4 linked regions of the Macaca fascicularis genome follow. The main gene of each other region encodes a partner of the protein of the gene in region 2 in a complex. Links are inferred from orthologs where the notes say so. Each region holds a gene or a part of one and is shown on either strand. Other genes may lie near its edges.

Region 1 (5,077 bases), on a different chromosome or scaffold from region 2:
GGTCCACTTTCTCTCGTCTGCAGGCCCCCGACAGTGCTACCTTGCTTGAGAAGATGAAGCTCAAGGACTCTCTCTTTGATCTCGATGGGCCCAAGGTGGCATCTCCTTTGTCCCCCACATCCCTGACACATACCTCCCGGCCCCCTGCTGCTCTTACCCCCGTGCCCCTTTCCCAGGGGGACCTCTCCCATCCTCCTCGAAAGAAGGACCGAAAGAACCGAAAGTTGGGGCCAGGAGCTGGGGCTGGCTTTGGGGTGCTTCGGAGGCCTCGGCCAACTCCTGGGGATGGGGAAAAGAGATCTCGAATCAAGAAGAGCAAGAAGCGGAAGTTAAAAAAGGCAGAACGGGGGGATAGACTCCCACCTCCTGGGCCTCCCCAGGCACCCCCCAGTGATACAGACTCTGAAGAGGAGGAGGAGGAAGAGGAAGAGGAAGAAGAGGAAGAGATGGCAACAGTGGTAGGGGGTGAAGCCCCAGCCCCTGTGCTCCCAACACCCCCCGAGGCTCCTAGGCCCCCTGCCACAGTGCACCCTGAAGGAGTCCCTCCTACTGACAGTGAAAGCAAGGAGGTGGGCAGCACTGAAACAAGCCAAGATGGAGATGCCAGCTCCAGTGAAGGCGAGATGCGGGTCATGGATGAGGACATCATGGTAGAATCAGGTGAGAGGTTTGGGCTGGGGCGAGGGGTTTGAGGGTGTTGTGGATCCAACAACTGCTCAGGCAGAATACCAAACAAACCTTTTTTCCCCAGGTGATGACTCATGGGATCTGATCACGTGTTACTGTCGAAAGCCCTTTGCAGGGCGGCCCATGATTGAGTGCAGCCTGTGTGGGACGTGGATCCACCTCTCCTGTGCTAAGATTAAGAAGACCAACGTCCCTGACTTCTTTTATTGCCAGAAATGCAAGGAACTGAGGCCAGAGGCCCGGCGGTTAGGGGGGCCTCCCAAATCTGGAGAGCCCTGACGGCACCAACTTTAGCCTGGAACTTCCAAATGATAACATGATTTGGGAACTGAGCCTCAGGGTCCTCAGCCTACCCCCTGGAGCTTGGATACTGTCCGCACTTCAAGGCAGGAATTCCCAAGGGAGACTTGTTTGAAAATGAGTGTCTCACTTGCCTACCCTATCCGTCCTCCCCACTCTGAACTTGAAATTGAACCCATTACGGTTGCGGGTGGGAGGCTGTCTGTGTCTCTAGACACATAATCTCTGTCTCTTGGACCTGCCACCATCACTTTCTGGGTCAGGATTGGAATTGGGATGGAATGGGACAGTTGTCTATAAAACTCTAGTGTAAATATTAGCACTCCCCTCCCTCATCTTTTCTTCTATTTCACTCCCCATTTATTTTCTTCTACACCGGTTGTATTTTTAATTTTGGACTTCCCCTACTGGGCATGGCAGCTCAAAGGTGGAGTACTAGAGCCTGGCCAAGCAAGGAAGGAAAGCAGAAAGGTGACGATTCTCACTCACCTCTTTTGTTTTTAATAATATTGGCCGCTGTTTGTACAGACAGCCTGCGTGTTGTAAATAAAGCAGAGTGGGCTCTTTTGTGTTTATAGCCCTCACTGTCCTGCTTGGGAGGGAGGCTTTGGTGGCTGAAGACTAGCTGGACGTGGTGCTGAAAGCCACCTCTCACAGTCCAGTCTGAAGATGGCACAGCACTGGGCCTCTCCCACCCCAAGATACTTGAGTAAGCCACCTCAGAGCTTTCATTGTATTTGGCCCTCCCCACTCGAGTCTAGGAACCCCCACAATCCCCACCTTCACTCCCTGCACGCACACTCCTGAGGGTCAGAGTTGCTTCGCGCTCCCGCCGGTGTGGGGTAAAGCCGGGTGGGAGCCGACTGTCCGCTTCCTGAGGGCACAGGCCAGCTTATCCTGGGTGCTCCGAGGACCTCGGCTGGGGTACACCTTTGGGGGCTGGGAGACCGTTGCCGAAGGCAGCGATCACGTGGCGGGGGCACTAGGAGGAGTCACGCGGTCACGTGACTGGGAGGGGTCACGTGACGGGGGCGGCTGAAGAGCGCGGGGTGGGCGGGCTTAGGTCACGTGACATGAGGAGAGGTGGGCGGGGACCTGGAGGACGCTCGCGTTGTCGGTGGCGGTGGCGCGCGGCGGCCGCTGAGACCGCGGCTTTGAGTCGCACCTCGCGGCCCGCCCCCCGCCGCCACCCTTGCCGACCCCTGCTTTTTTCCCTTTGCTTCTCTCCAGTACTGGGTCCGTCCTGTCCGCGCTCGCTCGTCGGTTTGCGGGTGTGCGCAGGCGCGGCAGGGGCCATTAGCCCCTTGGGTGGGCGGTGGAGCCCGGGAGCGCGCGGGCGAGACCATGGCGGGCAGCAGCGCTGGGGGCGGTGGGGTTGGGGAGACGAAGGTGATTTACCACCTGGATGAGGAAGAGACTCCATACCTGGTGAAGATCCCTGTCCCCGCCGAGCGCATCACCCTCGGCGATTTCAAGAGCGTCCTGCAGCGGCCCGCGGGCGCCAAGTACTTTTTCAAGTCTATGGATCAGGATTTCGGGTGAGCGCAAGGCCTAGATAGGACCGACGGGGGCTTTGCTAGAGTGGATTGGGCGACGTGGAGGGGCACACATCTACTTCGGGCCACACTAGGATTTTCTGGCCTGTGGTGGAGCAGATTGTACCATGCTGAGGTAGGTTGACTCTCCCAGGATGGACAAGGTTATGCTTGGATAGATTGAGGCACACGGGCAGACTAGGATATCCTAAACCAGATTAGAGACGATTAGGCTCTACTGGAATAGGTGGAGGCATACTGGTTTATTTTGGAGTGTTTTAGACTGTACTGAGTAAATTCATCTATCGTCTGGTCGTTTAGTACGTTCTCAGGAGTCCTGTAACGCCTGTAATCTCAGCACTTTGGGAGGCCGAGGCGGGCGGATCACGAAGTCAGGAGATCGAGACTATCCTGGCTAACACGGTGAAGCCCCATCTGTACTAACTAAAAATACAAAAAAATTAGCCGGGCGTGGTGGCGGGCGCCTGTAGTCCCAGCTACTTGGGAGGCTGAAGCAGGGAGAATCGCTTGAACCTGGGAGGCGGAGGTTGCAGTGAGCCGAGATCGCGCCACTGCACTCCAGCCTGGACGACAGTGCAAGACTCCATCTCCAAAAAAAAAAAAACACCAAAAAACAAAACAAAACAAACTTGGGCCATTATGGACTCTACTGGGCTGTATTGGTTAATCCTGGTTTATCTTGGGGCAAGACATGGTTTTATTGGAGCACTCAGTATGGGGGCAGACAAGGCTGTTGGTGCCCATGCTAGTACAGGTAGCTGTATTGGGGTATTCTAGTCTATATTGGTGCAGACAGCTGCGTGTGGGGACATTGTAGGCTGTGCTAGAATAGATTGGGCTATCCTAGGGTAATTTGGACATTCAGGGCTATCTTGGACTAGATTGGCATGTAAATAATGCAGAGAAAGCCCTTTTGTGTTTATGGTCTTTGGGGCTGAGCCCTCTCTGGGTCCTCAACCTCTGCTTTTTTTTTTTTTTTTTTTTTTTAAAGACAAGAGTCTCGCTCTGTCGCCCAGGCTGGAGTGCAGTGGCTGATTCTCGGTTCACTGCAAGCTCCGCCTCCCGGGTTCACGCCATTCTCCTGCCTCAGCCTCCCCACTAGCTGGGACTACAGGCACCCACCACCACACCTGGCTAATTTTTTGTATTTTTTAGTAGAGACGGAGTTTCACCGTGTTAGCCAGGATGGTCTCGATCTACTGACCTCATGATCGGACCGCCTCGGCCTCCCAAAGTGATGGGATTACAGGCGTGAGCCACTGCGCCCAGCCCAACCTCTGCTTTTTTGAAGGCAGGCTGGATTAAGTTGAGATAGCATGGGTTTTAGAAGAACTGAACAAACTGGACTCTAGCTAGAAAGATTGTTTGACATGGGAAGGGTGATACTATCTTGGGAGTTATCTTGGCTTTAAGTCAAGGTTCTTCTAGTTGTCAGCAGTGCAATCTTGGACAATTAATTTAAATTTTGTGTCTTGATCTCGTCTGTGACATGGAGAAAATCACAGAATGAAATGGTTAGTTCAGGTGTGTGGTACATGGTGAATTCTTGGTGAATGGTAATTGTCATTAGTATTGAGGCTGACTACTCTATAAAGGTTATGGTGATACACAGTAATTTGTCTTAAGAGTGGACTGAGCTATGCTGAGATTGTGTTATGTTGGGAAGAATCCTACATGATGCTGAGACAGATTGGTAGTGACTGGGCTGTGTTGTCACATTGACAGCAAATGGATTAAGTTGATATATATCCTGGCTCTTATGACCATATTAGGCTAATGGGTTAATTAGACAAGGTGTCCTAATTTGGCGGCAAGGGTGTGTGTGGAAAGAGAGAGAGAAACAACCAGGGCAGAGAGTCTGATGCTTTATATGTTTATTCATTTAGTTGACAGTATTTGTTAATGCCTAAGTGTCAGTGTGTGGTGTGTGGCCAGGACATGGTGTTGATCAGAGTAAGTGTTCATGGTTTGATGTCGTGGTCAAGAAGAAGGGGCAAGTCCAGTCCACCACAGGGAACCCATTGGAGAGATGACCCCAAGGCTGGGCTTTGGGATCTGTCAGGCTGAGCAGATTGCTTCGTGCCGAATTTTGTGCCAGATGAGGCACAGGGGAATGGGAGCGCCAGCTTGCTCTCTCCTTGGGAGCTTTCAGTCTAATGAGGAGCTTCCATTGTTTGTTTGATCTAATGGTGGGTGGTTTTGTTTTTTGTTGTTTTTTGTTTGTTTGAGGTGGAATCTCACTCTGTCGCCCAGGCTGGAGTGCAGTGGCGCAATCTCGGCTCACTGCAACCTCCGCCTCCTGAGTTCAAGCGATTCTCCTACTTCGGCTTCCGGAGTAGTTGGGATTATAGTGTGCACCACCGTGCCCGGCTCATTTTTGTATTTTTAGGAGAGACAGGGTTTCATCATGTTGGCCAGCTCCTGGCCTCAGGTAATCCACCCACTTTGGCCTCTCAAAGTGCTGGGATTACAGGTGTGAGCCACTATGCCTGGCCTCTAATGGGTGTTTTTACTCAAGAAAGGACAGTCTTCTG
Region 2 (5,011 bases):
GGGTCGCCCAGTGCACCCCGGTGGAGGTGTCCACGTGAGAGGAGCTGCCGTGCTGCCCCAGGATGGCCTCAGTTGTGGCGCCGGGGGGCTCTCAGCCTCCCTGAGGTGCAGACAGAGTTGCCACACCCCAGAGCCAGTGTCCACGCCATTGGTGGGGAATTCATGCCAGAGACCCAAGGACAGGCTCTCGGGAGGAGATGGCGTCCCACCAGAGGGGATGAGGTGGTAGGATCCCAGGACCCCAGATCAGAAGCTCCCCAAAGTGCGGTCTGGGGAACAGGGGGGTTGGTACCCAGATCGTGAGTGTGGAGTGTGCTGCAGTGTCTGGCACCACTGAGGCCTAGGAGGGGGTTTGGTGTCTTGTCCACCCTGCAAACTGGAGCCTTCACGGGGCAGGTTGTACAGCCCCTTCATGCTCCGTCTGTCCCTGCGCGGCAGCATTGGTCGAGGCTCCTTCCCCAGGGCTGGTGGCCGCCGGCGCAGCCACCATTGACGCGGGTTGTTCCCTAGGTATGTGCAGGAGGTTATGCGGCGGGGACGCGCCTGCGTCAGGCCAGCGTGCGCGCCAGTGCTGCGCGTGGTACCAGCCGTGTCGGACATGGAGCTCTCCGAGACAGAGTACGTGCGTCCTGAGGGTCCTCCTGGTCCTGCCCACCCAGCCCAGGCGTCTCAAGCCAGGTCCCATGGTAGAGCTGCCGTCCTGGGGCCTGAGCTCAGGTACCACGCTGAGAAGCAGCTGTGGCAGGAGAGGGTCCCACGGCATCAGACTCCAAGCTGCCCAAGAGCCTTCTCCCGTCTCCATCAGAGGAGATGCTGACTGTCCAGCATGACGATAAGTGACCAACAGGCCCGGCTGGAGGCCTGGGCACAGCCAGCCCTGTATCCACACAGGTGTCATGGGAGGCCCCTTGTGGGGCAGAGACCTACCCCTGCCCCTGGCCCCACCCGGCTTGGAACTGGCTGGTCCCCGCAGACCTGGCTTGAGCAGGGTCGGGGCTGCAGGTGTTGAGGTGCGCGAGGTGCGTCAGCTTGCAGTGTGGGTCTCAACTATGTGCGTCTGTCCAGTCCGTGCAGTCCGTGAGTCAGGGCTCTGCTCCCACCTGCAGTGCTGACCACTCCGAGCCCGTGAGAAAGGCTTACTGTGTCCATACCACGTGATCCCACATGGGCTGTGTCAGTGGCGCCTTTGTGTGCTCAAGGTGGCAGGAGGGGCATATCCCAAAAGGGGCCTTGAGAACAGGGGTCCCCCAGGCCTTACCAGGCTTGCCCCAGATGCAGGTTTGTTGTGGCTGTCATCCTCTAGGGGGTCTTGGAGGGGCCTTCACCCGTCCTTGGGGCAGCCCCCACATGTTGGCTCATTCTCCTATGGGCCTGGCTCCAGGGGGCTGCAAGGATGTGGCTCTGGGAGAAAGTCCAAGAATGCAGGTGGGTGGGGGCCCTGGTGTGCGAAGTGGACGGTCACCTGGCTGAGGTGGCCGTGAGGCCTTCCTGCCATGATGTCGACTCTGGCAGCCTCTAGTGCACGCAGCCAGCAGGAGGCCCGAGGCCTGAACCCCAGTGGGCCAGGGGCAGCTTCTGGAGTCATCTGAGGGACAGGTGGTGGCAGGGGAGCCAAGCAGAGGGTGTGAGTGGAAGCACAGCCCCTGTAAGAGGAGGGCCCAGCTCAGCCTGGGCAGGAGACGGTGCCAGCCCCACCCCCTCTGAAGGGCCTGCTGGCCGCACCCGCAACAGTCCTGGGACAGACTTCACTGTGGGGTCAGGCTCATCCAGAAATCGTGCATAGTTCTGTTTGTCCAATCCCTGCCCTTGAGATGTTTTTAAGGTTTGGGGGCCGTAGGTCTTCCTGGCATAGGAGCCATGCAGCCTGCCCTGCCATCCTAGAGGTGAGAGCTGCAGTGCGCCCAGTGGCCAGGCCCTGTCCAGTCGAGGGTGGGGCTGTGAGGCAGCGGGGAGACCTTTGTGCTGCCAGTGAGTGGAGTCAGACTCCACTGCTGGTGGAGTAGACCCCAGATTGAGATGCTGCGGCGGGGGGGCAGTGGGGCCTGGGGCCCCAGGTGTTTGCAGGCCTGCCCCACCCTTTGCTGGCAGCCTGAGGCCAGCAGGAGGCACCCTGTGGGACCTCAGTCCAAAACCAGGGACCACTGCTGCATCTCTTTCCCCAGGACGAGATCGCAGAGGAAGGCGGGCGGCGGGAGTGCCCAGCCGTGTGACAGCATCGTTGTGGCATACTACTTCTGTGGGGAGCCTATCCCCTACCGCACCCTGGTGAGGGGCCGCGCTGTCACCCTGGGCCAGTTCAAGGAGCTGCTGACCAAAAAGGGCAGCTACAGGTGAGTGTGAGGGCTGGGGTGCCCACTCCCTGCAGGGGTGCGTGGGTGCCCAGCAGTACGAAAAAGAGGGTTTCTAGCCAGGCATGGTGCCTCACTTCTGTAATCCTGGCATTTTGGGAGGCAGAGACCGGCAGATTGCCTGAGCTCAGGAGATCGAGACCAGCCTGGGTAACATGGTGAAATCCTCTCTCTACTAAAAATACAAAAGAAATTAGCCAGGCGTGGTGGCGGGTGCCTGTAATCCCATTTACTTGGGAGGCTGAGGCAGAATTGCTTGAACTCAGGAGACGGAGGTTGCAGTGAGCCGAGATCGCACCACTGCTCCCCAGAACTCCAGCCTGGATGACAGAGCGAGACTCCGTCTCTATCCAAAAAAAAAAAAAAAAAGGCTTTCCGGCTGTTTCAGCTCCTGTCCCTCATCTGCACCTACGCCAGTTCTCCAAGCCCTGGGCTGAGGATGGCCTCAGGCCTTCGGCCCCACAGGACTGAGAGGGTCCCTAAGGGACTCCTTCCAGGGCCCTCAGCTTCGGGGTGAGAAAACAGCCAGAGGCCCAGACAACAATGGTCTGAACCTTGTGTCGGGCTCCCCTGGGCCAGCCTTGTCTCTAGGCTCTGGATTCAGCTCCTTTTGCCCAACTGAAAAGCCAGGCCCCATCCTACCAACGTTCATTGGGCCTGGGCCCCTCAGCCCTGAGGGCCTGCCTGCAGCCAGTCTTGGAGGCTCCTGAGTGAGCACTGGGGGGTGAGCAGAGGGGGCCTGACCACAAGAGCCTGGCAGAGGTGGTTCCCTCTGTCCACAAGCGACTGCAGACACCCGTGGACTGTGTCTGCAGATGTGGTGCTGAGGGAGGGCCCCAGTCGGGGTCACTTCCATGACAGGGCTCAGCCCTTGGGAAGCAGATACCCCACACCCATCCACTTCCCCCCTGCACCTCCTGAGAGGCTGGGGCAGGTACTCCTAGGGGGCTGTAGGGTGCCTCCCAGCAGGCAGTAAACTCACCCCCTGTAGCTGCCACTTCACCCACATGCGGTCATTGCACTGTTCACTGTTGCCCTGGGAGGGGCGCACGTGGTGGGAGTGGTGGGGGCGGTGGGGCATGGACAGGAGGCTCCTGGGGATGGGGGTGTGGACACGCCGTCCCCGCCACAGGCCTCCTCCCATCTGCGGCACTGCCTGCTCACTGTGCTCCTCACCTCCATCCTGCAGATACTACTTCAAGAAAGTGAGCGACGAGTTTGACTGTGGGGTGGTGTTCGAGGAGGTTCGAGAGGATGAGGCCGTCCTGCCCGTCTTTGAGGAGAAGATAATTGGCAAAGTGGAGAAGGTGGACTGACCAGCTGGCGGGCTGACCGCTGCACCAGGCGAGGCCCTCGGTGGGCACAGGTGTCACAGCCAGGCGGATGACCTCGTACTCAGGAGCCCGATAGAGAACAGCGTGGGGGCGCCGCCCACCCCTGCAGTCTGACCGTGTCTGGGTGGGTAGGGGTCCCTCCGCGTGGTCCACAGGCTTCTGTCCTGCCCCCGAGGAGGCAGCCGGACACTCCCCATAGCAATACTTGGAGGGCCTAGCCCAAGTGGGGCAGCCAGGGTCCCTGCTGCCGGCTTCAAGCGACGCCCCGGCGCCTCCCCTGGGCACGTGTGCTGGGATCTGTTTTTCCCTCTGGGATTTGCCCACGTACCCTGGTCTGGCTGGGCGCAGCCCCAGGCCTGGGCGCAGAGGCCTGCAGGGCCTCTGTCAATTGTACTCGCCACCGAGTGCCTTCAACACAGCTTGTCTCTTGCCTGCCACTGTGTGAGCCGGCGACGGGGTACTGCACCTGCCTCCAGCTGCCGGCTGCGCGGTCCCGGGTCCTCCTTTCTGAGGGCCCATGTAAATATGTACATTTCTCAGGCCAGGGCCAGCAGGGGCTGCCCAGGTCTGTTTTTCATGCGATGACACTTGTACAATTATCTTTTCAAAGGTACTTGGATAATAAATAAAACTGTTTTTGAACCTGCCCTGGCTGTGGTGTGTCTGCTGCCAGTGGGGCCTGGCCTGGGTCTCCCAGCCTCAGCCCCTGTGGTTAAGGTCATGCTGGCCTCCAGCAGGCATGGGGGTCGTCCTGTGACTCAGAGGCTGGCCAAGCTAGAGCATGAACGTGCTCCACCTTCCTTCCCAGGAGCCCGCGTCTGGGCAGAGCTGCATCAGGCCAGCCTTGCTGAGGGATCAGGCACACACAGTCCAGAACCAAGCTCTTTATTCACAATGCACAGCTCCCTCCAGCACCCAAGGAGGTGCCCTCCTGTCCAGCGGTGAGGAGGGGAGTGACACGGGGGTAGCTACAGCTCCTCCTTGGACCCCACGGTTGAGTTGGCCCGTGGCTCCTAGAACGGGTCACAAGTACAGCTCGGAGCTCTGCTCCCAGCCTACCCCTGCCCCCGCCCCACCAGCCCCGTGTAAAGACGGTTTGTGCAGAGGCCTGGAGCCCTGGCTTAGGGACACCCACCGGGAACGGGGCTGCCGGCTCCTCCGTGGGCTCCTCCGTGGGCACCGCGCCCCCGTTGTCCAGGAACTTGGACAAGGTCTCCAGGTCCCTGGCGCTTTTATATTCAATCACCTGAGGAGAGGCAGGAGGCTCTGGAGGACAGGCCAGGCCCAGCCCCATGCCCAGGAGGATGGCATCCCAGCTTCCCCAGGCAC
Region 3 (3,693 bases), about 43 Mb from region 2:
CATTAAGAAGAGTTAATGGAAGGTTCTCTGATTCTTTGGCATTGGAACTACACTTGTCCTGCGGTATCCTCGGAAGATTAGTTCTAGGACCCCCTTCCCCATACCAAAACCTGAGGATGCTCAAGTCCCTGATAGAAAATGGTGTCGTATATGTATGTGCATATTCTCCTGTATAATTTAAATTATCTCTGGATTACTTAATACAATGTAAATAATACGTAAATAGTTGTTATAGACTGTATTTTAAAAATTTTGTATTATTTGTAAATTTTTCTGAATATTTTCAATCCATGGCTGTGGTGAAGTCCTTGGATGCAGACCGTGTGAATACAGAGTGCCGATTTTATCCAGGACTTCACCTGTAACTCCCTATACCTATCAATAGCTGACTCCAAATTAGAAAGAAATAAGAGTAAGGGAGTCTCAGGGAGAGAGTCCTAGCAAAACGGATTCGATTAAACTTCAGTTCCTTGTATAGTTTCTCTAGTTGTTTATGGTCCATCTTCTATTTTAGCATTTATTATTCCATGTAGTCTATCCAAAGACGATTAAGGGAGTTCCAAATGTTTTCCGGAATATTTTGAAAAGAGAGCTTATCCAGTGTACAGATCCTAATAAAGTGCACATTCAGTGTAATTTTATTTTTTAGTATGTTACTTTTTAAATTCTATTTATTTTTCTTTCTCTTTTGCTCAGTAAATTTTGCATGAAACTTTAAGTACTTCTGGCATGTAAACATTATTTGTAAAATAAGTCATGGTTATAATTATTTTTCTCCTGCCTCCTTATGTATTTATTTCAGAAATGAGCCGTCAGACTGCTACAGCATTACCTACCGGTACCTCGAAGTGTCCACCATCCCAGAGGGTACCTGCCCTGACTGGCACAACTGCATCCAACAATGACTTGGCGAGTCTTTTTGAGTGTCCAGTCTGCTTTGACTATGTGTTACCACCCATTCTTCAATGTCAGAGTGGCCATCTTGTTTGTAGCAACTGTCGCCCAAAGCTCACATGTTGTCCAACTTGCCGGGGCCCTTTGGGATCCATTCGCAACTTGGCTATGGAGAAAGTGGCTAATTCAGTACTTTTCCCCTGTAAATATGCCTCTTCTGGATGTGAAATAACTCTGCCACACACAGAAAAAGCAGACCACGAAGAGCTCTGTGAGTTTAGGCCTTATTCCTGTCCGTGCCCTGGTGCTTCCTGTAAATGGCAAGGCTCTTTGGATGCTGTAATGCCCCATCTGATGCATCAGCATAAGTCCATTACAACCCTACAGGGAGAGGATATAGTTTTCCTTGCTACAGACATTAATCTTCCTGGTGCTGTTGACTGGGTGATGATGCAGTCCTGTTTTGGCTTTCACTTCATGTTAGTCTTGGAGAAACAGGAAAAATACGATGGTCACCAGCAGTTCTTTGCAATTGTACAGCTGATAGGAACACGCAAGCAAGCTGAAAATTTTGCTTACCGACTTGAGCTAAATGGTCACAGGCGACGATTGACTTGGGAAGCGACTCCTCGATCTATTCATGAAGGAATTGCAACAGCCATTATGAATAGCGACTGCCTAGTCTTTGACACCAGCATTGCACAGCTTTTTGCAGAAAATGGCAATTTAGGCATCAATGTAACTATTTCCATGTGTTGAAATGGCAATCAAACATTTTCTGGCCAGTGTTTAAAACTTCAGTTTCACAGAAAATAAGGCACCCATCTGCCTGCCAACCTAAAATTCTTTTGGTAGGTGGAAGCTAGACACATGAAGGTAAATGAAAGGAAAGGCTGTTAAATACAGGAAACAGTTGCATGTAGTAACACTAATATATTTAAAAATAAGTCAACAGTAAACCACTGAAAAAATATATGTATATACACCCAAGATGGGCATCTTTTGTATTAAGAAAGGAAGCATTGTAAAATAATTCTGAGTTTTGTGTTTGTTGTAGATTGATTGTATTGTTGAAAAATAGTTATTTTGTTTTGTTTTTGCGTGGGAGTGTGTGCGTGCGTGGGTGTGTGCGTGTTTGGGTTTTTCTCCTTTAACTGACAAGCCATCTTGAGTGGTCATGGGCCACTGCTTTTCCCCTTTGTGAGTCAATACATAGTGCTGCTGTGTGCTTTTTTGTGTGTGTATTTGCTAATTTTTATTAATTTTAGTTTTTCATTAAATAAATTTGACTTTCCTTTCTGTAATTCAGGTTTTTCTTCACTTTTTTTGTACCATTTTAAAGTTAGTGTCTTTTGATATGCATACTTGTTATGGTAAAAGTTTGTAACATGTGTTCAATATTTTCTTTTCCCCCATTAATCAGTTCATTAGAAATATTTTAAAATCAGCTACTTTGTGAAGCTATGAGTTCCAGAAAGTAAAGGTGACATCGGAAAAATGATCAAAAGCTATTTAAAGCATCTGTAAGATGGTCTCTCTCTTTCTCTCTTCTACGGATGAGTCACACCTTTGAGCTTAATCTTTGAAAGGTTAGAGAATAAATTGATTTTTATAAGTACTGCAAATCAGGCTTTTGTTTCCTTTTTCAAATATCTTGGATAAATCACATGTTTAAAATTTGTTCTTGTATTTATTGGTTTTGCAAAAGAAGGCATCGTCATGCACAGTATTTGTAATTAAAAGCAAATCATTTGTTTAAAAAGGCAGTTTGCAAAAAAATGTTTTTGGTCTTTTATAATTCTCATTAAAAGAATTTCTGGCAAATTAAAAAAATCTTACTGTGTCTGCTTTAGCTCTAAGTTTGATAAAATCCAAAGTTATTTTCCTGTTTCATTCCGTACTTTAATTATATAGCAGAAAGCTGTGTGTTGTCATTTTTAAGTGTGGTAGAGTTATACTCTAAATCACAGCAAATAACTGGGTATATGGCTTCTGGATTACAGTCTTTCCCATGCTCTGCCCCTCTTGCCCACATTTTGATTCTTACAACTGTCAGGAGAATGACTAAAATGCTGACCACTTTTCACCTCTTTAAAAAAGCACAATGAAATAATAAATTTACTATTTCATAGCCTAGTGGTTAAGAGCCTTGGTTCTGCAGCCAGACTTCAGGCACCTAAGTGCCAGTCTCGGCTCTACCCCACTAACCAGCTGTGTGACCTTGGGCCCCAGTTTCCTAATGTGTAAAGTGGGGTTAAATTATGGTAGCTACTTAAAAAGTTTTAATGGGGTACAGGTATGTTACCTCAAACAGTGCTTTGTTCATATCAGCATCCAGTGAATGTTAGCTACCATTATGCCTTTAGTACCATGTAGTTAACTTGCTAATTACTTTGAGGCACATGGCAAGATTCTGAAATTGCCTTCTGAATAGTGAAAGATAATTTTGTGTGGTTTGTATTGGTACTGTAAGCCTAGAAAGTTAATGAAAATTTGGACTTCACCCTTATCCCACCACTGATTCTGGATAATTTTGGATAAGAGTTTATTTCTATTATCCATTTTCAGAAAAGATGATTGTGTAGTCTCATCCTTATGTCAATATTATCTTTTGAACTGGTTATAATGTGCTTGTGGAGCCTTTGTTCTTTTTTTTTTTGAGACGGAGTTTAACTCGTCGCCCAGGCTGGAGTGCAGTGGTGTGATCTTGGCTCACTGCAACCTCGACCTCCCGGGTTTAAGTGGTTCTCCTTCCTCAGCCTCCAGAGTAGCTGGGACTATAGGTGCGTGCCACCATGC
Region 4 (4,959 bases), on a different chromosome or scaffold from region 2:
TGGCCTCTATAGCCATCTGAATCTGCAAACACTATCTGGACCTTTCCTGTCTTCCATCAAAGCTTACTTTGTTCTGTCCCAAGTCCTTCATCAGTGTTTCAAAGCAAGAGCCAGGTAATCTGATCAAATTTAGGTCCTTTTACTTGTGCTTTCTGGAGACAGTATCCTAACTGAAAGAGATGATTCTGCAGGTAGAAATTACAGGAAACACTGGATTACAATCAGGATGGCAACTGTCTGTTCTACTTTCTCTCTCTTGACGTAGCCATACCTCACTGTTCTAAAGCAGACCAAAGGAACTGGTTCTATCGTAGAACAATGGACGCTGGTCTTACATATGAAATCTATTCAAGCTGCACTTTTATAGATCACCCTAATTCCAAAAGATCCAAAACTACCACGGGCTCCTCTAACCCCCCATTTCCTTGGAGGCTTCAGGATATCCGGCCTGACGGCATTTCCCCTCACCTGCTTTCGGGGCCCGTTTTGCGCTGGGCAGTTGCGCCCAAGGAGCGCGCGCATCCAGCATGAGCTCATTTCTCATGGGCGTTTCCAGAGGCCCGGCCGGGCCGCGCACACCAAGCGCAGCGGGCCTCTCTATCAATGGCCCCCGAGGCTGGGCGGGGCGCGGCCGCCCAAAGAAGCTTTGTTCCCATTTTAGCGTCTGAGAGCTTGCTGCCGGCTGGGAAGGCCCCCTTTGTCCGTCAGGCCCTTTCGGGGAAGAGGCCGACACCCGGCACACGCGATCCAGGGCAGAGGAGAGCCTTAGGCGCGCAGAATTGGCTGCGCCCCGCCGAGAGCCTCCTGTGGATGGGGAGAACCCCTCGACCCCTCTGCTCGCTTGAGCGCTTAGAACCCAGCGCCGCCGACCGCAGCACTTTCCGATTTGCTGCGCCTAGGGCAGGCGGTCCCTATTTGCGGTTTCCACCGTAGTTGGAGGCCGCAGGCGAGCCGTCGGGTCGTCAGCCACGACCCTAGTCGGGCATCTCCCAGGTCCTGGGACGAAGGCCGAAGGCCAATCACACCGCAGCTAGGTCTTGCGATTGGACGGCAGTGAGAGCCGATTGGCCACCGCCGCGAGTTTCGAGCTCCACCCTCTCCCTTTTGCCCCAACTCCAGCGCCTAAGCTTCCGGCCAATGAGACGGCGCTTTATAGACGCCCTCCCTTCGCTTTCTTTTCCCCACCTTGGAGAGGGAGGGGGAGTCCTGACTGGCCAAACTGTCCTCGGAAGCCCCCTTCCCTTCACCAATCACCGAGGGAGGTACGCTCCCAGCGGAGTTTTCCAGCCAATTACAAAGCGGCGGCGGCGCCCAACCGTGCAGTTTCACCAGCGTCTCTGGGTTTCACCGTCTTCAACTCTTCAAGCTTTTTCGTGAGGGCCGGCGACTCTGATTGGCCACTGTTGCCATTGTCGAATGTCTCCTCCAGCCAGCCACCGAACCAGGCGAAATCACCCTTTCCGTTCGGCTGCCTTCGGCATTTTCCGCTCTTTGGGCGTGGCTTTCCAGCGTCACTTTCTAATTGGTTTCTCAGGCCGATCGGCTTTTTCCGGGAGGAGCCGCAAACAAACGACGTCCGTGATTGGCTCCGTTCGGGCTTCGGCTCCCAGCCGAAGCGGGCGAGAGTGGGGCTCGGGCGGCGATTCCCAGACGCCTGTTACGCGGGCGGCGGTGCGCTGGGCGGTGTAAGGCTGGGTGGGGGAGGAAGGAGGTGGAGGAAGAGTAGGAAGGGGGAGGGGGAGTGGGGAAGTGCAAGGCGGCTGCGCAGACAGCGCTTCTCACACAGAGCAGCCCCTGACCCGGGCGAATGCGGGCTTGTGCCGCCGCTGCCGCCGCCGCCCGGGCCGAGTGACAAAGGAAGGAAGGAAGGAAGGAAGCGAGGAGGAGCCGGCCCCGCAGCCGCTGACAGGGTTCTGGGCTGGGGGCAAAGCGCGGACACTTCCTGAGCGGGCACCGAACAGAGGCGAGGGGCGGGAGGGCGGCCGAGCTGTTGCCGCGGACGGGGGAGGGGGCCCCGAGGGACGGAAGCGGTTGCCGGGTTCCCATGTCCCCGGCGTATGGGGAGCAGTCGAGGAGCCGCTGCCTGGGGTCTGAAGGGAGCTGCCTCCGCCACCGCCGCCGCCATGGCCGCTGGATCCAGCCGCCGCCTGCAGCTGCTCCTGGCGCAATGAGGAGAGGAGCCGCCGCCACCGCCCGCCTCTGACTGACTCGCGACTCCGCCGCCCTCCAGTTCGCCGGGCCCCCGCCGTCAGCCCGCCGGATCCCACGGCTGCCGGAGCTGCAGCGTTTCCCGTCGCATCTCCGAGCCACCCCCTCCCTCCCTCTCCCTCCCTCCTACCCATCCCCCTTTCTCTTCAAGCGTGAGACTCGTGATCCTTCCGCCGCTTCCCTTCTTCATTGACTCGGAAAAAAAATCCCCGAGGAAAATATAATATTCGAAGTACTCATTTTCAATCAAGTATTTGCCCCTGTTTCACGTGATACATATTTTTTTAGGATTTGCCCCTTCTTTTCTCTCCTCCCAGGAAAGGGAGGGGAAGGAATTGTATTTTTTCCCCAGCCGTAAATCATCTATATGTTAAATATCCGTGCCGATCTGTCTTGAAGGAGAAATACATCGCTTGTTTTGTTTTTTATAGTATACAAAAGGAGTGAAAAACCAAGAGGACGAAGTCTTTTTCTTTTTCTTCTGTGGGAGAACTTAATGCTGCATTTATCATTAACCTAACACCCCAACATAAAGACAAAAGGAAGAAAAGGAGGAAGGAAGGAAAAGGTGATTCGCGAAGAGAGTGATCATGTCAGGGCGGCCCAGAACCACCTCCTTTGCGGAGAGCTGCAAGCCGGTGCAGCAGCCTTCAGCTTTTGGCAGCATGAAAGTTAGCAGTGAGTATTGATTTTATTTTACGCCCCTTTTCCACTTCGCCCTTAAAATAAGAAATCTCGGAATACCAGGATCTGAAAATATTAGACTTCCTAATATAACAAACAAGCAATGGAAAAGGGCAAAACCTATCTTCAGTCAAGGATGAAGCAGCTCCCTCTTTACTCCTCCCATACCCCCTCCCCCGGTCTCATTAACCTTGAATTGAGATAATATGATTTTTATTTGGATGATTCGATTTGAAACTGCTTTCTTATACTTTTCTTGCTGTTGGTAGTCAGTTTCATCAAGTGCTTGAGTGTTTCCACGTTAGTGATGACCGTGTTTACTTGCCCATCCTTTAGAATAAAGAGAAGGACAAGATTTGATTAATAAACCATTGTGCACATTTGCAGAATGTATGTCTTTTGGAATAAGAGGGTATTTTAGGTCTCAGGATTTATCATAGTTTGGTATACTTAATAGAGACATTAAACGTCCCACCCTCCCAACATTTTTTTCTTGTCTGTATGACTACACATAGTATTTGTTCTTAATCTGTGGATGAACTTGCTCAGTAACCATTCACATTTGGAGGCTGTCATTGATTTCTCTCTTTAGAAGGGACTAGTGGGAGCCAATAAATACCCAGCAGCAGTAGCATCTCTGTATGCATTTGTGTTCGATTGGATTAGTGGTTTGATGTGTTCTCTCTTAACCTTCCTGTTTTGACATTACCAACCTGCCACCGTATAATTTATATTTAATCAAAAGGTAACATGGAAGTATTAATAGGTCCAGGTTTTGATTGAGATTTGTTTTGTCATAGTGCCAAATAGTAAGTTAAATGTTGTCACTGGCTCATTACATTTAAGTTCAATTTTGGAGTACTGTTGCGCTCCTGTTAAATGTTCTGGGGGGTTCCTTAAAAAGGACGATTTAAAATACTCTTGCGTTAGTTTCCATCACATTTAGATAACTGTGGATTTAGTTAGAAGAATGTGGATTTAGTCCTTTCCATTTTGGCTTTTGCAGATGGCTGTGGTCCTGCAAATAATAGGGATATTTGGACTGTGTTCAGGGTTGTAGATAGACTACTCTTGTCCTGGGTTTGTGCTGAGAAGTATGCTTTTGAATGTTTAGTATATACTAAGTATCTAATGTTCCAGTGTATCTCTATTTATGGAGAAGTTCATGTGGTGTTTAATGACAGCTTGTTTAAACATACTTTCAGAATTTAACAAAAATATCTATGTTGTTTCCTTATTGTGGGAAAGAGGGTCATCATGAGGGCAAAGAAATTACTGTGTTGCTTAGAAGAACGAAGAGAACTAAAAAACTGAGATTTTAAGAACTGACACACACAAAAAACATGTATGTTATGTGAAATTGATTATATTCTTAGGCAACATAAAATGATCACTTTTAGTTGAACTCAAGATTTCATTTCGTGTTGGCTTTGGGAACTAGCCTGAAACAGGGTAGTCTAGGTAATAGCTGAATGGGAGATTATTTTTCAAAGTTAATTTTTTTTTTCCCCCGGTGGTTTGCAAGTAGAGAATGCCGGGGTAGGAAAAGAGGACAGCTGATTATGCATCTTTCAGGGAAGGGTCGTGCTTTCTAAGCGCTTCATGGAGTCATTTGAAAAATATTTTAAAATTCCGGGGTAATTTTCAGCTATGATGATACAAATCTTATAATAACTACTTAAGAGCCTCTTGTGGTACTGGAGTGTTTGTATGTTTTACATCTTGGTAATATAGTTTGAAAACCAGTCAATCAATTTCAGCTAATTGATTTATTAGCTTTATTTCAGAGATCTATAATGCTAGATTATAATGCTACATTTTGGGACTTTTCATTTTCTTTCCAGGATTTTCTTTGAAATGACTTTTGAATTTTTGATAATGCAGATACTAAGGATGGAGTAACTCTTGTAAAATATATAGATGAAAATGTTTATTTTCCGATTACCGTATAGGTCAATTTAGAATTTAAAAAGTTGGAGTTTAGTGTTAATTATGTGTTTTTGACAGCTTTGACTTTAAAAACATTTAAAAGAAAGGGGAGTCTTTAAGCATTTGTTAGGATGCTAG

Evidence for each region.
Region 1: the proteins of AXIN1 (region 2) and DVL2 are in contact, whole or in part, in a crystal structure (PDB 6JCK), measured with the Homo sapiens proteins. The link is inferred for Macaca fascicularis from reciprocal best matches to the Homo sapiens genes AXIN1 and DVL2. Residues at the interface, in NP_003493.1 of Homo sapiens: Arg821, Tyr823, Lys825, Lys826, Glu830, Phe831, Val835, Val836, Phe837, Glu838, Glu839, Lys857, Glu859, Asp862; in NP_004413.1 of Homo sapiens: Lys15, Ile17, Tyr18, Glu23, Glu24, Thr25, Pro26, Tyr27, Leu28, Val29, Val46, Leu47, Gln48, Arg49, Pro50, Phe81, Arg84.
Region 3: the proteins of AXIN1 (region 2) and SIAH1 are in contact, whole or in part, in a crystal structure (PDB 5WZZ), measured with the Homo sapiens proteins. The link is inferred for Macaca fascicularis from reciprocal best matches to the Homo sapiens genes AXIN1 and SIAH1. Residues at the interface, in NP_003493.1 of Homo sapiens: Pro378, Lys379, Glu380, Val381, Arg382, Val383, Glu384, Pro385, Gln386, Lys387; in NP_003022.3 of Homo sapiens: Cys130, Pro131, Ser154, Thr156, Leu158, Asp162, Ile163, Val164, Phe165, Leu166, Ala167, Thr168, Asp169, Val176, Asp177, Trp178, Val179, Met180, Asn272.
Region 4: the proteins of AXIN1 (region 2) and GSK3B are in contact, whole or in part, in a crystal structure (PDB 4B7T), measured with the Homo sapiens proteins. The link is inferred for Macaca fascicularis from reciprocal best matches to the Homo sapiens genes AXIN1 and GSK3B. Residues at the interface, in NP_003493.1 of Homo sapiens: Glu384, Pro385, Gln386, Phe388, Ala389, Glu391, Leu392, Ile393, Arg395, Leu396, Glu397, Val399, Gln400; in NP_001139628.1 of Homo sapiens: Ile228, Phe229, Val263, Asp264, Leu266, Val267, Ile270, Lys271, Asn287, Tyr288, Phe291, Lys292, Phe293, Pro294, Gln295, Ile296.

Annotation. Positions count from the first base shown.
Region 1 is NC_088390.1:7,280,881-7,285,957, reverse strand, and holds the start of DVL2 (segment polarity protein dishevelled homolog DVL-2), read left to right. Parts: upstream 1-2,076; 5' UTR 2,077-2,331; coding exon 2,332-2,525; intron 2,526-5,077. Other genes in the region: PHF23 (PHD finger protein 23), read left to right, coding at 1-660, 752-966.
Region 2 is NC_088394.1:1,039,812-1,044,822, reverse strand, and holds the end of AXIN1 (axin-1), read left to right. Parts: intron 1-510; coding exon 511-618; intron 619-2,162; coding exon 2,163-2,330; intron 2,331-3,537; coding exon 3,538-3,664; 3' UTR 3,665-4,329; downstream 4,330-5,011. Other genes in the region: PDIA2 (protein disulfide-isomerase A2), read right to left, coding at 4,651-4,695, 4,818-4,928. UniProt on the Homo sapiens protein: Component of the beta-catenin destruction complex required for regulating CTNNB1 levels through phosphorylation and ubiquitination, and modulating Wnt-signaling.
Region 3 is NC_088394.1:44,266,167-44,269,859, reverse strand, and holds the end of SIAH1 (E3 ubiquitin-protein ligase SIAH1), read left to right. Parts: intron 1-802; coding exon 803-1,653; coding exon of another isoform or gene 1,654-1,756; 3' UTR 1,757-2,727; downstream 2,728-3,693. Other genes in the region: LONP2 (lon protease homolog 2, peroxisomal), read right to left, coding at 1,637-1,756. UniProt on the Homo sapiens protein: E3 ubiquitin-protein ligase that mediates ubiquitination and subsequent proteasomal degradation of target proteins.
Region 4 is NC_088376.1:163,084,941-163,089,899, forward strand, and holds the start of GSK3B (glycogen synthase kinase-3 beta), read left to right. Parts: upstream 1-1,780; 5' UTR 1,781-2,798; coding exon 2,799-2,886; intron 2,887-4,959. UniProt on the Homo sapiens protein: Constitutively active protein kinase that acts as a negative regulator in the hormonal control of glucose homeostasis, Wnt signaling and regulation of transcription factors and microtubules, by phosphorylating and inactivating glycogen synthase (GYS1 or GYS2), EIF2B, CTNNB1/beta-catenin, APC, AXIN1, DPYSL2/CRMP2, JUN, NFATC1/NFATC, MAPT/TAU and MACF1.